Arabidopsis thaliana: one gene and its partner. The protein of the gene in region 2 interacts with the protein of the main gene of each other region in a biochemical or structural test. Each region holds a gene or a part of one and is shown on either strand. Other genes may lie near its edges.

What was found.
Region 1: the proteins of PHOT1 (region 2) and PKS1 form a complex in vitro, tested with the Arabidopsis thaliana proteins (one study listed by BioGRID).

The regions. Positions count from the first base shown.
Region 1 is NC_003071.7:853,329-858,693, reverse strand, and holds PKS1 (phytochrome kinase substrate 1), read left to right. Parts: upstream 1-1,968; 5' UTR 1,969-2,225; coding exon 2,226-3,545; 3' UTR 3,546-4,617; downstream 4,618-5,365. UniProt on the Arabidopsis thaliana protein: May be responsible for light-regulated cytoplasmic sequestration of phytochromes or may be a negative regulator of phytochrome B signaling. Component of the network that modulates the very low-fluence response (VLFR) branch of phyA signaling.
Region 2 is NC_003074.8:16,815,110-16,822,959, reverse strand, and holds the start of PHOT1 (phototropin 1), read right to left. Parts: upstream 6,240-7,850; 5' UTR 6,045-6,239; intron 4,614-6,044; exon of another isoform or gene 4,417-4,613; 5' UTR 4,404-4,416; coding exon 3,703-4,403; intron 3,164-3,702; coding exon 2,981-3,163; intron 2,708-2,980; coding exon 2,616-2,707; intron 2,521-2,615; coding exon 2,253-2,520; intron 2,158-2,252; coding exon 1,935-2,157; intron 1,838-1,934; coding exon 1,767-1,837; intron 1,679-1,766; coding exon 1,572-1,678; intron 1,489-1,571; coding exon 1,439-1,488; intron 1,316-1,438; coding exon 1,211-1,315; intron 1,128-1,210; coding exon 1,068-1,127; intron 972-1,067; coding exon 805-971; intron 712-804; coding exon 627-711; intron 541-626; coding exon 460-540; intron 356-459; coding exon 252-355; intron 169-251; coding exon 119-168; intron 19-118; coding exon 1-18. UniProt on the Arabidopsis thaliana protein: Protein kinase that acts as a blue light (BL) photoreceptor in a signal-transduction pathway for photo-induced movements.

The DNA of each region.
Region 1 (5,365 bases), on a different chromosome or scaffold from region 2:
TTTGAACAATATCAAAAATAGTTAAAGTTAAGTTAATTAGAGTTTTTTAATTGCCGCTTGATTACAACTTTTTGGAACACATTCCGGTTTGCAATCTTCAAAACTCTCGAGATATCTAAGAATTTTGTAAATTATGATTTTATATGCATATGGAAGCCTTTAGGATTACCAATCACCTCAGCTTTTGTAAATTACAATATGATTTTATATAAATATTGTAAAAGAGACATTTAAAAAAAAATCCTATATAATGATAATTAAAAATCAGATAACGGTACTAGAAAGTATACGTAGTACATCATAAATTGGTGATACCGTTTTGGTATATAATCAATTTTTATTAGTTTTGATATTTGTAGTCATGCTTGTGGTTTGTGGTAAATCTCATAATGATCATTTTTGTTTTAGTTGGACGAATAAAGGTTGTGGTTGAGAAACAAACACGTATGCTGTGGGATCAATTCGAACCATTCATACGTGATACGTCGACTATAGCAACTAATAAGCATATTTTATTAACTACATTACACAATATTCTTGATTGACAGATACATAGATTTTATGTTTGAATTAATTAATCTTTCGTTATGTTATATTTAACAAAAACAATACACATTATTTGATATGTATTATATGACAAGATACGATTCCATGAATTTTCTAATATACATTACACATAAATTATAGAGCGTACGTCAAATCATAACATAAAATATTACTATATTTAACAAAACCCAACTCGATGGTCTTTGTCAATATCTCCCCATGCAACAAAATACGTACATCCCTCGTGCTTTCTAAGTTTCTATTTTTGTATTTTTGTTCCTCAAGTGAAATCCATATCCACTACTTTTCTAGTTGAAAAAAGTTAGAAGTTAAAATACAAGTAAATCCAGATTCACTTGTCAGCTCAATCCTAACATGTCTTTGAAAATGTGTGTCCGAAAACTTGTCAGCCCATTATTAAGTATGTGAAACAATACTTTAATTTGAAGTAATTAAGAAAAACAATACATTAAATCTACTTTTTTTCTCATGTAAAACTCTTTGACACCATTGGTAAAATCCAATCATTTATCTTCCGATCTTATTGACGATGTCATTAATTTGTTAATTGTATGATGGTTAATAAGTTTATCCAATGTATGTTTTTGTTTAATTTATTTATCCAATGTATTATTTTATTTTAACATACAATGCTAATCAAAATTTTAGTTTAAGTAATTAAGAGAGTCCTTTAAGAATAATAAAAAAATGTTGGTTTATAACAGAGAGTCCTTTAAGAATAATAAAAAAATGTTGGTTTATAACAGAGAGTCCTCAATGCAAATCAGATTGTTTTAAACCTGCACACAATCCAACAAAATCATCTCTTCTTGCTAAAGCTAATCATCTCAATTATCTCACAAGGTTCAACAATCGTATGAATGTGAAGTATATAGCCATACACCCCCATCTGTAATTAACGTGTCCGAACGGATTGTACATTAGAGCACCTCCAATGTATAGGATTCATATAGTTTCTAAAAAAACAAAAAGTATTAATATTTTATTTTTATATCCAAAAAACAAAAAAAAACAACCTATATGAATAATAGAAACGATCCTCCCAATTTTAGAGATTCTCTCTCATCTCTTTTTTAATTTATAATTTTTTTTTGTAATTGTATGAGTTTCTACTAAAAAACTACGGTTGGAGTTGGTTTTAGTTGCTACAAATATAGTAGCAAATGTGTTTTAAATCGGAATCTTAAAAACGTATAGTAGTGCTAAACGTCTACGTACAAAATACGAATATTGAACGTATAAAAAAAAACACTTTCTGAAATCTGCAGGTTAGAAAATTATTTAAGAGATCCAGTTGCAATGTGAGTAGTATACTAGTACTGTTGTATTAATAAGTCCTAATCGAATTAAGACCATATCATTATAATTCCTTTCTTTTGTGGTCACGGGGGTAACATTATTTTTCGATTATTCTCCATTGATTGGCAAAGATTCATTATCCAAATATATAAATAAATCAGTTCACACACACAACAACTGGCCAATGACTCAAACTGGAACCCACTCACATTGATCAGATCATAACACTTTTAGCTTCAGAAAAAAAAAAAAAAACAGCTATCAAACATATCGTCTTGTTACTCTATTTATACCCTAATTCCACATATCTACACACAAGCAATAAAGAGAGAAAAAAATATAAAGCTACCAAAGAGAAAATGGTGACACTAACACCATCTTCTGCTAGTACCCCAAAAACATCTTTTGATTTCATGAAGAATAACAACAGTCACAGCAGTCTCTATGTTTCTTCTTCTTCTTACTTGAGCAGCAAGGAAGATGCTCTTGTCACGACCAAGAAGCTCATGGAACCAAGCAAAACACTAAACATGAGCATTAATCCAAAACAAGAGGAGTTTGGTGATGAGAAGAAAATGGTGAAGAAAGCTCCTGAAGATCCAGAGATTGGTGTGTTTGGAGCTGAGAAGTACTTCAATGGAGACATGGATTCAGACCAAGGTTCTAGTGTTCTGTCTCTGACAAACCCAGAAGTTGAGAGAACCGTCGTCGACTCGAAGCAGAGCGCGAAGAAATCTACTGGTACTCCGAGTGTCCGGTCTGAATCAAGCTGGAATAGTCAGAGCGTGTTGCTTCAGAACAAACTGGTGAATAGCTGCAACAGTTCCTTCAAGGAAAAGAAGAACAGTAATGGTCAGATTCAAAAGGTGACCAATAATAAGAAGAGTTTTCTCGCAAATTTGGGGTGTAAATGCGCATGCTCTGATGGGGATTCTGTAGATGTCGAGGAGAAAACCTCGGTCAAGAGAAGCGCTGATCCGAATATCTCTGTTATCACAATGAGATCTTCTGCGGATATGAACACAGAACTGATCAAGATTCAGAAGCAAGAGGAGTTATCACAGAGGAAGTCTCTTGAAGTTTTTGGATCTCCAGTGGCTATTGAGAAGAAGAGTAGTGTTGTTCAGAAGAAACTACCATTGCCTCCATGGAAATCGAGAACAGAGGAGGACGACACAAAGAGTGAAGGGAGTGATTCAAGCTCGGATCTTTTCGAGATAGAGGGTCTTACAGGGAACCCTAAACCTTTTCTTACGAGGCAAGGAAGTGATCCAGCTTCACCTACGTGTTATGCGCCAAGTGAAGTAAGCGTAGAGTGGAGCATAGTGACAGCAAGTGCAGCAGATTTCTCTGTTATGTCAGAATGTGCAACAAGTCCTGTAAGAAGAAACCGACCTACTCAGATTCCTCGAATCCCTATTACCGCTAAATCAGCACCGCAGAGACGGAAATCGAGTAGCAGCAGCGGAGGGAATGGTTTCTTGATGAGCTGCAAGAGTCATAAATCTGTTATGGTTTCTGGTGATTTAGACAGAAGAAGCAGCATGAACAAGACACAACCGAGTTACGTTCCTAGATTCCCAATGGAGACTACTAAACCTAAGAGTTTCGAAACACGAAGAAGGATCAGCAACAGCTCGATTTCTCACACACAATCATCTCTTCTTTATAGTCAGTGATTGCAAGAAAGTAAAAGAAAAAGATTTCAATCTCTGATCTCTCTTTATCTATAATTTCTACTGAGTGAGAAAGATATGTAAACTTATAATAATGTCTTGTTGAGTCCATGATCAAATCAATTTAAAAGGGTTTCTTAGAGACCTTTTGCACCTAAGAAAAAGTTACTCAAAGAGTGACAAATGATTGGAGAGTGAAAACAAAACATTATGGTCAGTTAAAAACACAGATCTCAAATTCAGCAAAATAAGCAGAGAGACATTCCAAAAATTGGCTCCACCAAGTTTTACCTTTTTTGGATTTAGTCTCAAGACTCAAGAGAGAGAGATATGAGTTTTGTCTTAGCTTGAAAGGGTTAAATCAAACGTACACTAGATTGACAGAAAGAGCTATTAATGAGGAAACTTAAATCAATGAAAGTGTCATATTACCTAACATATCTAAGATCTGGTCCTGAAACTCATCTAAAGGCCATGTATATGTCTGAAATAAAAGTAAGGTAGACAAAACCTTAATTGCTAGTTGACAATATGAGAGAAAAGAACCAAAGTGCCTTACTAAGACAATAAATGCAAAGAAAGATCAAAGATGTTTGTCTCTGTAGCCTACTCATAAGGGAAATGATCGAATTTACCCCAAATGATCTTATCCAGTTCACTGATATTTCTCTGTAAGATATTTCAAAAAGGGCTAATTAGATTTCAAGAAAAGACATAAATGAAACCAAGATGATGACATCAAAGCTAGTATAGCTAGTATGGGCTTAAAACCAAGAAACATACAGATCTTGAAGATAAGTATTGTACCCTTCTCAAAAGATATGAGAAAATAATTGACCACACTATATATAAAAATCTAATCATCTAACTACTTAGTTTTCATATGTGGATGAGAGAAGAACAACAAAAGCAAGAAGACATTTTGTGTTAAGAAAGCAAAACAAGATTACTCATCTTTGAATTCTTTGGTTGGACATTGCCTCAAAGCATCCGCTTGCTCTCTTTCGTCAAGTGAATAAAGGCAAGTTGGTAATGAGATGAGACTCTGATCCCACATGACAAAAAATGGCTGAGAGAAGTTTCTATTTAATTCCATAGAGTTTGTGGTGAAACATTCACTGTCTTGATGTGAAAGGGGTTCGTTCCTCAGGAGCCCACCAAGAGAAGGAGAAGAGTCTTGTGTGGTCGTTTGCTGCATCTCCATTACTTCATGTTACCAAAAGAATACAAAAAAACCCCAAACATAGGTTCAGGAACAGATGATGATTATAGAAATAACAATCTTATATTATCTGACAACAAAGTGGTAACAGTACATCAAAACTAGGATTCTTGACTGTCTCTAGCTATGTGTCAGTTCCTAATATCTTCCACAGAGAGAAGGAAATAATGATCATATGCCAACATAAAGAAAATCAAATCTTTTTAAAGCACCCCTAAGTGTATCATAACATGAGAAAAATAAACCTTTAAAGGAAAGATCACTCGATTTTCACAAAGATAACAATCACAGTGCTCTGCCTCTGATTACCAAGTAACGTTTAATGTTCAATTGCCCCGAGTGAAACCATTACCAGTTATTTCAAGAAGATCATAAACTCTACACTCTTTTTTGAAGAACCCATTGTTTAGATGTCGTAAGTAGTCCAGTTTCGTCTGAAATCTCTGTCTCTCTAAAGTATCCAATTCAATGAAATCAACAGGAATGTGGCAATGTGCCCATAAATCAACATTCAAAACATCGAAAACAAAGTCTCTTCTTTGGAAAAAAAAAAAAAAAAAAAAAGCCTCTTCTTTGTGTCTCTTTCCTAAACACAAAACGA
Region 2 (7,850 bases):
AGTCTCGGTAAATTATTCCTGAATTTAAGAAAAATTACAAAGATCAACTTAGTATCATGTCAAGATTCCTTGCATCCAAAATTTTCTTTGTAATTAAAGAAGAGGTTGAATGGATTGCCTTGACAGTGAAGATACTCGAGTGCAACGACAACTTGAGCAGCATAGAATCTGAAAGTTCATGCAGGGTTTTTGTTAGTTCAATATTTAAGTGAAGAAATCTTGAGACTTTTTCGAGCGAGGAACACTTGTACCTTACAGCATCTTCTTTGAGAACCTTCCTAGGTTGTCGATCTAGGAGCATGAAGAGTTCTCCTCCTGGATAGTAATCTGTTATAAGACATATATGTGTTTTTGTCTGCAGAATAAAACATGATCCATTAGTAACCAAAGACCAAAGAGACACGCATATATATATATATATATATATATATATATATATGTGTAAACAGAGGTTTTGACCTGAAAAGAAGCGTAGAGTGCAGGAAGAAAAGGATGGTCAAGCAAATCTAGGATCTCTCTCTCAGCTCTAGCTCTATGTACCTGCAAAAAATTATATCAGTGGCTACAAAACTTACAAATAAAAAGCGAAACTCAAGATTCCTTGAAGTGCAAGTTACTGTAATTACTTTGTTTCGGTTAAGCATAACAGCCTTGTCCATTGCTTTCATTGCAAACAACTGATCTGTTCCAACGAGTTCCACTAGATGCACACTGATAAAACACAAATGGGATATTATAAGATTAATGAAGGAAATGTTCTTTTTTTTTGTAAGCTATTTCATTAGATTAGATAGAGTTTCAGACCTTCCTGTGTCACCAGAACCCAAAGGTTTCACCGGTTTGAAATGCTTCAAACCAATCGGTTCACCACTTTCCAACACCTTTTGGATAGCTATCCATGGTGGTGAATCTTTCCTGTGAGGCTTACAATGAACAACCTTTGAGTGGTTTGCCCATAAATCCTCTGGTGTCTTCAGAAACAAGACACAATAAAACATTCTGTCAGATATATTCTAATAAACCTTAATCTAAAATGATCATATTCAGATCCTTAGACAATCACTTACCATGTTGGCATCAGGAAGTTCTCGAACCGCTTCATCGATATTCACAGCTGTTTTTTTCACCTAAAGAATATAGATTAAGGTTTAATACTTGATTTTCTATCAAACGAATACTAAATCAAGATCAATAGTTTAGGATTCCAGACCAGGTCTTCTCCCTCTTTCACTGCGGTTTCTTCAATGACATTGCGAACTGGTTCTACGTGCTTGCTCCCGTCTAGTTGAACTCCAATAAAGTATTGTACTTCTCCCTGTCAACAACATATCAAAGAAAGAATATAGACATCTTCAGTTTTAAATTCATAAACCAAAAGAAATTGAGGATTAGTTTGAAGGTGCCGTATAATGCAAGATATCTATGTAAACCATTATACCTTCTGATCACGCATAGGTTGCAAGTGGAAAATGTTCCAGAACTTCTTTCCTGCCACAGAGAATATAATGTAAATTTAAAACTTTATACAATGATCGACAGATTAATCTAAGAATATCGAAAAAATCGAGTACCGCTCTTGGTGTAGTTGATGAGCTGAACTGTCACTTCGGTTTGGTTATCAATAGCATTTCGAATCTTCTTCACTGTGGTTAGATCAGTCTCTGGACCTTGTAGAAACCTAAAACCATGAAACAAAATTTATAAACACATGCTCTATGCTCAAAAATATTTTCAAAAGACATTTTGAGATCACATTCATGTAATACCTGCAATTTCTTCCAAGAATTTCTTCACGGCTATATTCCGTGAGCTCCAAGAAACTATCAGATGCAAAAATCTAGAAACATAGGACAAAGCAAACAATACGTTTTCAGACCAATCGAAATGAAACATAACAAAAAAAGTTTCCATTTTTCTAAAACATTTGTTCTTACAATGGGATTATCGGGAAGCCTAGGATCAGTGATGACGAAATTCTTCTCGATACGTTCGAGTGTAGTAGCTAGATCAATACCCTTTCTCATTTCCTTTTGTCTCACTTTATCATCCACACTCTCAGGTCTCTCGTCCCTATCACTAATCTCATCGTCTTCTTCTCCATACTCTATAAATCCATCGTCTATAGATTCATCCAAAGATTCGCTCTTCTTCTTGATCCTATCACCAGAGTATCACAACAATCATATCAAAGACTAAATCGATTTTTATAAAGTAATTGTCAGGTAAACAAATGATCTAGTAAGGATTATTACCCCATGAAGGAAAGGGAAGATTTTCTAGATTTTTTCTCGGGAATTTCGTTGATTCGCTGCATCGAGTTTCTTCTTCCGCCGCCAGAGTTTCTTCGGCCTGACGGAACAACATTTTCGGACATTCGCCGAGCTGGTTTTTTCGGAAGTTCATCGCTCTCCGATTTTGTCATGAAGGGATGGAGATTCGTCGATTCGCTTAGTGCCCGAGGTCTCTTCACCGCCTCTACTAGCTCTGTCACTGAGTTTGTCGCCATATCTTTTTGGCGGGCTTTTACAAAACAAAATTTGAAAATATTTTTAAGAAAACATAATAAATGGAAAAAAATTTGGAAAAACAAATAGAAAAAGAAAGTATGTAAATACCATCGTATCGAATCAGAGATTCCGGAAGCCCATTGGGCCTCAAAGCCTTTTCTTTGGCCCCTTCAGTGTGCTTGCTCACCTCCACTTGCATTCTGGTCCAAATAAACAAAACATATTGGTATCTTCTGATTTTTCCTCAAAATCATATTTTTTTATCAGATTCTATAATTCTTTTCTTTTTCCTGATTGATTATTCTCTTTTGTTATTCTACAATAGGATCCGTCGGTGATACAAATCTTTGAATTATTGCGGAGAAAGCAACACAAATCACAGGTCCACACTTAGACCCATTAAAAAGGGTGACATTTTGAATGAAAGAAATAAAGGAGAGAAACGAGTAAATAAAAAGGAATAAGGGACTAACCCGATAAATTTGAGGACTTTGCCACTCTCGTCTTTAATGGGAGCAATCGTGAGAAGATTCCAAAAAGAGGTCCCATCTTTCTTGTAATTCAATATACGCCCACAATAATTGTTACCAGCAGCTAATGTCTCTCTTATCTTTGCTAACTCATCTGCATCTGTACCTGATCCTTGTAAAAATCGGCTACAATAAAACAAAAACCCAAATTATGTTCTTTTCTTCTTTCTTTTTGTAAATAAAATTCATTCATTGAACAAAAAATGGTGGAAACTTTTGTAAGAAATTTTTCGAATTTGCAAAGAAATGTTCGATTTAAAAGAAATATTTTAAGTTATCATTAAAAAATAAACTTAGTTTATAAAAGGCTATTAGTTTGGAAAAACAACATAAAAATTAGGTTTATAAAAAGTTTTTAGAAATTTAGTAAGAGTTACTAAATCATTTAGGATAACCATACCTAAAACTTAATCTTTGTAATTTTGGTACACAGTTTCGAAAAGTTCTAAAAAAATAAAATAAAGTTAGGTTTAATTTTTGAAAATTTAGAAAGAATTACTAAGTCATTTAAGATATCTTTATACATTTATAGTAACCATAAACCTAAAAACAAAACTATGATATTTAATTAGAAAAAACTTTGCAATTTTGGTAATTATTACAGAAAACGAAACGTATTTTATATATTAAAAAAATGCTCTAAAATTTTTTGAATAACTTTTTACCAGTTTCTGCCGACGACTTCTTTGGAAGTGTAACCAGTCATATTGAAGAAACCAGCACTTGCATACATAATCGGATAATCAGGTTTTGTAGCATCTGAGACCACAAACGTTTGTTGAAACGTCGACAACGCATCTTTTAGATCTTCCGATACTCTTGGAATCCCACTCCTCCCGCCGGGAACATCTCCGTCCGACATCTCACCGGAGCTCCGGCAAGAGTTTTGCGAGTTTCTCTGCGATGTAGTCTTTTTCCCGTTAGGATCATTCTCAGTTCCACCAGAGTTCCTCACGCCTACTCCTTGTGGCTTTCCCGTCTTTGTATCGGTCTTCAAAACCAATCCCCACTCTGCCGCTCTCTGCTCAGCCGCCACCGCCGACTTCTGTGGTTTCTCGGCGGTGATCGTCTTCTTGGAGATTGTCTCCGGTGATGGGTCTTTCAGAGCCATCCATGAGGTCGTGACAGCGATTTCTTGATCAGACCGAACAGGGTTGGATGGAGCTGGTTCTTGTTGTGGTCGGGGTTGAGGACTGGTGCCACGTGGATCACTCAAGTTTTGCCACGCTGGTGGTTCAGGACGGAACACCGGGTTATCGGGTCGGGTCAGCTGAGTTGACGGGTTGAATACTTCGAGAGAGCCACGAGTGTCTCTAGGTAGAGTCCGAGAAGATGGTTTGGTCGATGGTTTTTCTGTTGGTTCCATCTTTGAGCTCTCTCTATACACGAAACAAAAATTGTGGCCAGAAAATAAGTTTATATATAATTAGTTTAATGGATAGACATAGATACCACACGCATGTGTGTGTATATGAATCGGCAAATAAAAATATTTATTCTCTTAAAGTTAGATACTATAAATATATGGTATAATATTTTATTGATTTCTAAAAATGGACACATGACCAAGTTCTTTTGTGGTAGATGGATGGTTTGATTACTGAAAATGAAAACACTATACAAATATGTGATATGTGAACTAATTAATAACGGTTAGATATGTCATATGTTTAGTCATAAACAGAATGGGTTTGACCATAAAAAAAGAAGGAGAAATAGAAAGGAAAGTTGATTAAAGTTTGAAATATCAGTACAATATATGGAAATGGTAGTATTACTTATATTTTTTTTTGTCATTTAACTTCTTCAAGTAGTATGGTACATATTGGAGTTAACCTCTTTTCATAAAATTAAAAATAACTAACTTGCATTAAATATTTATTAATAAGAGATTATGTCTACAATTTTATACAAAAAAATATAATATTCTAAACAGACAATGTGGTGGTCCATTTCTACACGGATCGAGAGAAATCCACTCTATATCACTTTGGTGCATTTCTACTAAGGCTGACTGGATATGTCGATATGATTTTACTAGATGCTGACCATAAATAATTCATCAATCACTCATTTTTTTTGAATCTTCAAAAATGTTATCATGAATAACAAGAATCTTGCTCTCTTAGGTGTCTTTCTTTTGGGAAATAATAGACTAGACATATCTAACATGATAATGAATACATGTTTTATATGAATGTATATGCATGCAGGTAACATTATTAAATATGGTTCAAAGAGTTATGGTTTATGGGGCCATAGATGAATGAAGATATGAACTGGAAAATACGCCAATTTTGAGAGTGACAATTCCAAATGAAGCGGGGGTAAAATTGAGAAAACGACACAAAGGTGTAAAGTTTCAATGCTTTTTTGAGTTTTTAGTACCACACAACACATGCATCTTCTAAGGGTGGTTTAGTCATTTTGGTATAAAAATGGACAGTTGTTCTATTACAAAAACAGTAGCTGAACCGATTCTGTTCGATCGATCACAGATTTCAACTAAAAATCTTTGTCTTTTTTTCATGTTCTTGTCATTTTATCAATTTCCACATAAATGAACTTTGTAAAATAGTTTATCACTCTATTTATATGAGAACAAATAAAAAGAGTAAAAAATTTCATGGTAAATAGGAAAATCTATTTTTATTTAAAAAAATTGAAATACATATCTTTATGAATTATGATTGGAGAAATTTTAAATCGAATTCAGTTGAGTTCTTGAAATATGCAACTACCATGTGATGTGTGACTTTCACAAAAAAAAGCTGACATTCAAATAATTTATATATATACTAGTTTCAGATCAAGCTAGTAGCTAGAGTGCTAGACGATATAAAATGATATCTACTTCACTATTTATATTTTTACACATACAAATTAAGGCCGAAAATGTGACAAGAACCCTAAAAAGATGAATAACATACAAATTAAAAAAATGAATCGTCCTAAAAATAGCCTAAGAAAGTGAGCAAGACAGTATAAATCGAAGGGAGAAAACTACCTTGCAAGTTAACTTGTGCTGGAAGAAACAGATTATCCTTCGATTTTTCCTTCACTCTCTAGTCGAGAGATAAACTGAGGAATGAGTTTGGGATGAGAAGTTAACTTTCCCGAGGCTTTTTATACAAATAAGGAAATTTTTTGATAAGAAGAGATTCTAGAAAGATTAAAAAACTATTTAGGTTTCATGATTGATTTAGTTCCGTTCTAGCTCCATCACTGGATTATTTGATCTTCCCATGCTTCGAATGTTTTTGATTCCACATGGCTTCTTTTGTTTACTTTCAAAAGATTGTATAGAAACGTAACACTAGTATCGTTTATCTATCTTCTGTATAACTCTGTCTTGATAATTAGATTATAAACCTGAATATACTCTCTTTGTCAAACAAAACCAGACCAAACATAAATATATATTCTGACTATGCTCAATATTCAATTTCTATGGCACTTATTGGAAACGAATGGTTTATATGACTTAACCAACAATTTTATGATGTTGGTTTGACAGTGATTAATCTAGGTTTTGGTATAGGACAAACAGGATTATAAAAGAGAATATTGCACAAAAAAACTTGCTTGTTGTAACTTGTGCGTATAATTGAAGTAAATGATAAATAAAACATTTGAAGAACACATAAGTGTGTGGAGTGATGGTTGTTCTTTTAAAAGTTTCTGTGTGTGTCAGTGACTATAAGTGGGAGTGAGTTGTCATTTGAAAACGCCAAAACCGTTCCCAAATGCAAATGCAGAGACCCAATATTACATAGATGTTCTCTTTCCACTTTTGTAATGGTAGAAATCTCAGTCTTTATGCATTGCAAGATATTTCATGCAAAAACATTAAAGAAGAACATACACTTTTATCCGATTTAGTGATGAAATCGAACATGGAGATCGGTACAGAAATCACAAACAAATTAAAAAGCAATCACATGTCATTGTTATATGCATTTTTGGTTGATTTATCAAAACTTTCTCTCGCTTTTTTTTTGTCAAAACTTTCTCTCTTTAAAATGGTTTTATTAATTCTGTCTCTATTTTGTTTTCCAAAAATCACTCTAATTATTAATTAGCAGATAACTTCCCTATACATTACGATGCATAAACAAAATATATTGCAAGAATATATAGCAGTTGTTAACCCAATCGATTTGGTATGCTATCAAATCATGGGCACAAATACAACCTTAAACTTTGGATAAAAAAATAAAAATCCAACCTTAAACAACCATGCATTTGATCATTTGCATATTCTAAAAAGCAATGTGTAACTAGTTTAACGGTGTAACAAATATAGACTAGCAATGGCATAGCGCCGATACGTCTCAGATTGAATAACTAAATATTTTTTAATTGCATGTAAATATTGTTAAAAAAAAAAACAGTATCATCATTTGTAAAATTTGGTATTAATATAATGACCCCACTACACTCAAATTCAGTAACATTTTTTTCTCTTAAAAGTTATATTATGATCCCGGTAACAAAAATGGATCTGCCACTACAGACTGGTCATCCCAAGCGATCACGATCACTATCAGGCTTGGTTAAAAATATCAGAACAGTTCAGATTCAAACCCTTTTGTCGGAAACCCTATGGACAAAATTTGTGAAGGGTATAATACAAAGAGGAGAGTATGGTAACATTTCATATACAAGTAGGACCAGAACCCATGTGAAGATTGATCAAAGAGAAAAAAAGATCTTAACGGGTTATAATCTTATCCATCATGTGTCCATTGTGGGTTTGAGTGTGTGGTGGGGGCTGAAAATGTTACATCAATCTTCACATATTGGCCGCTTA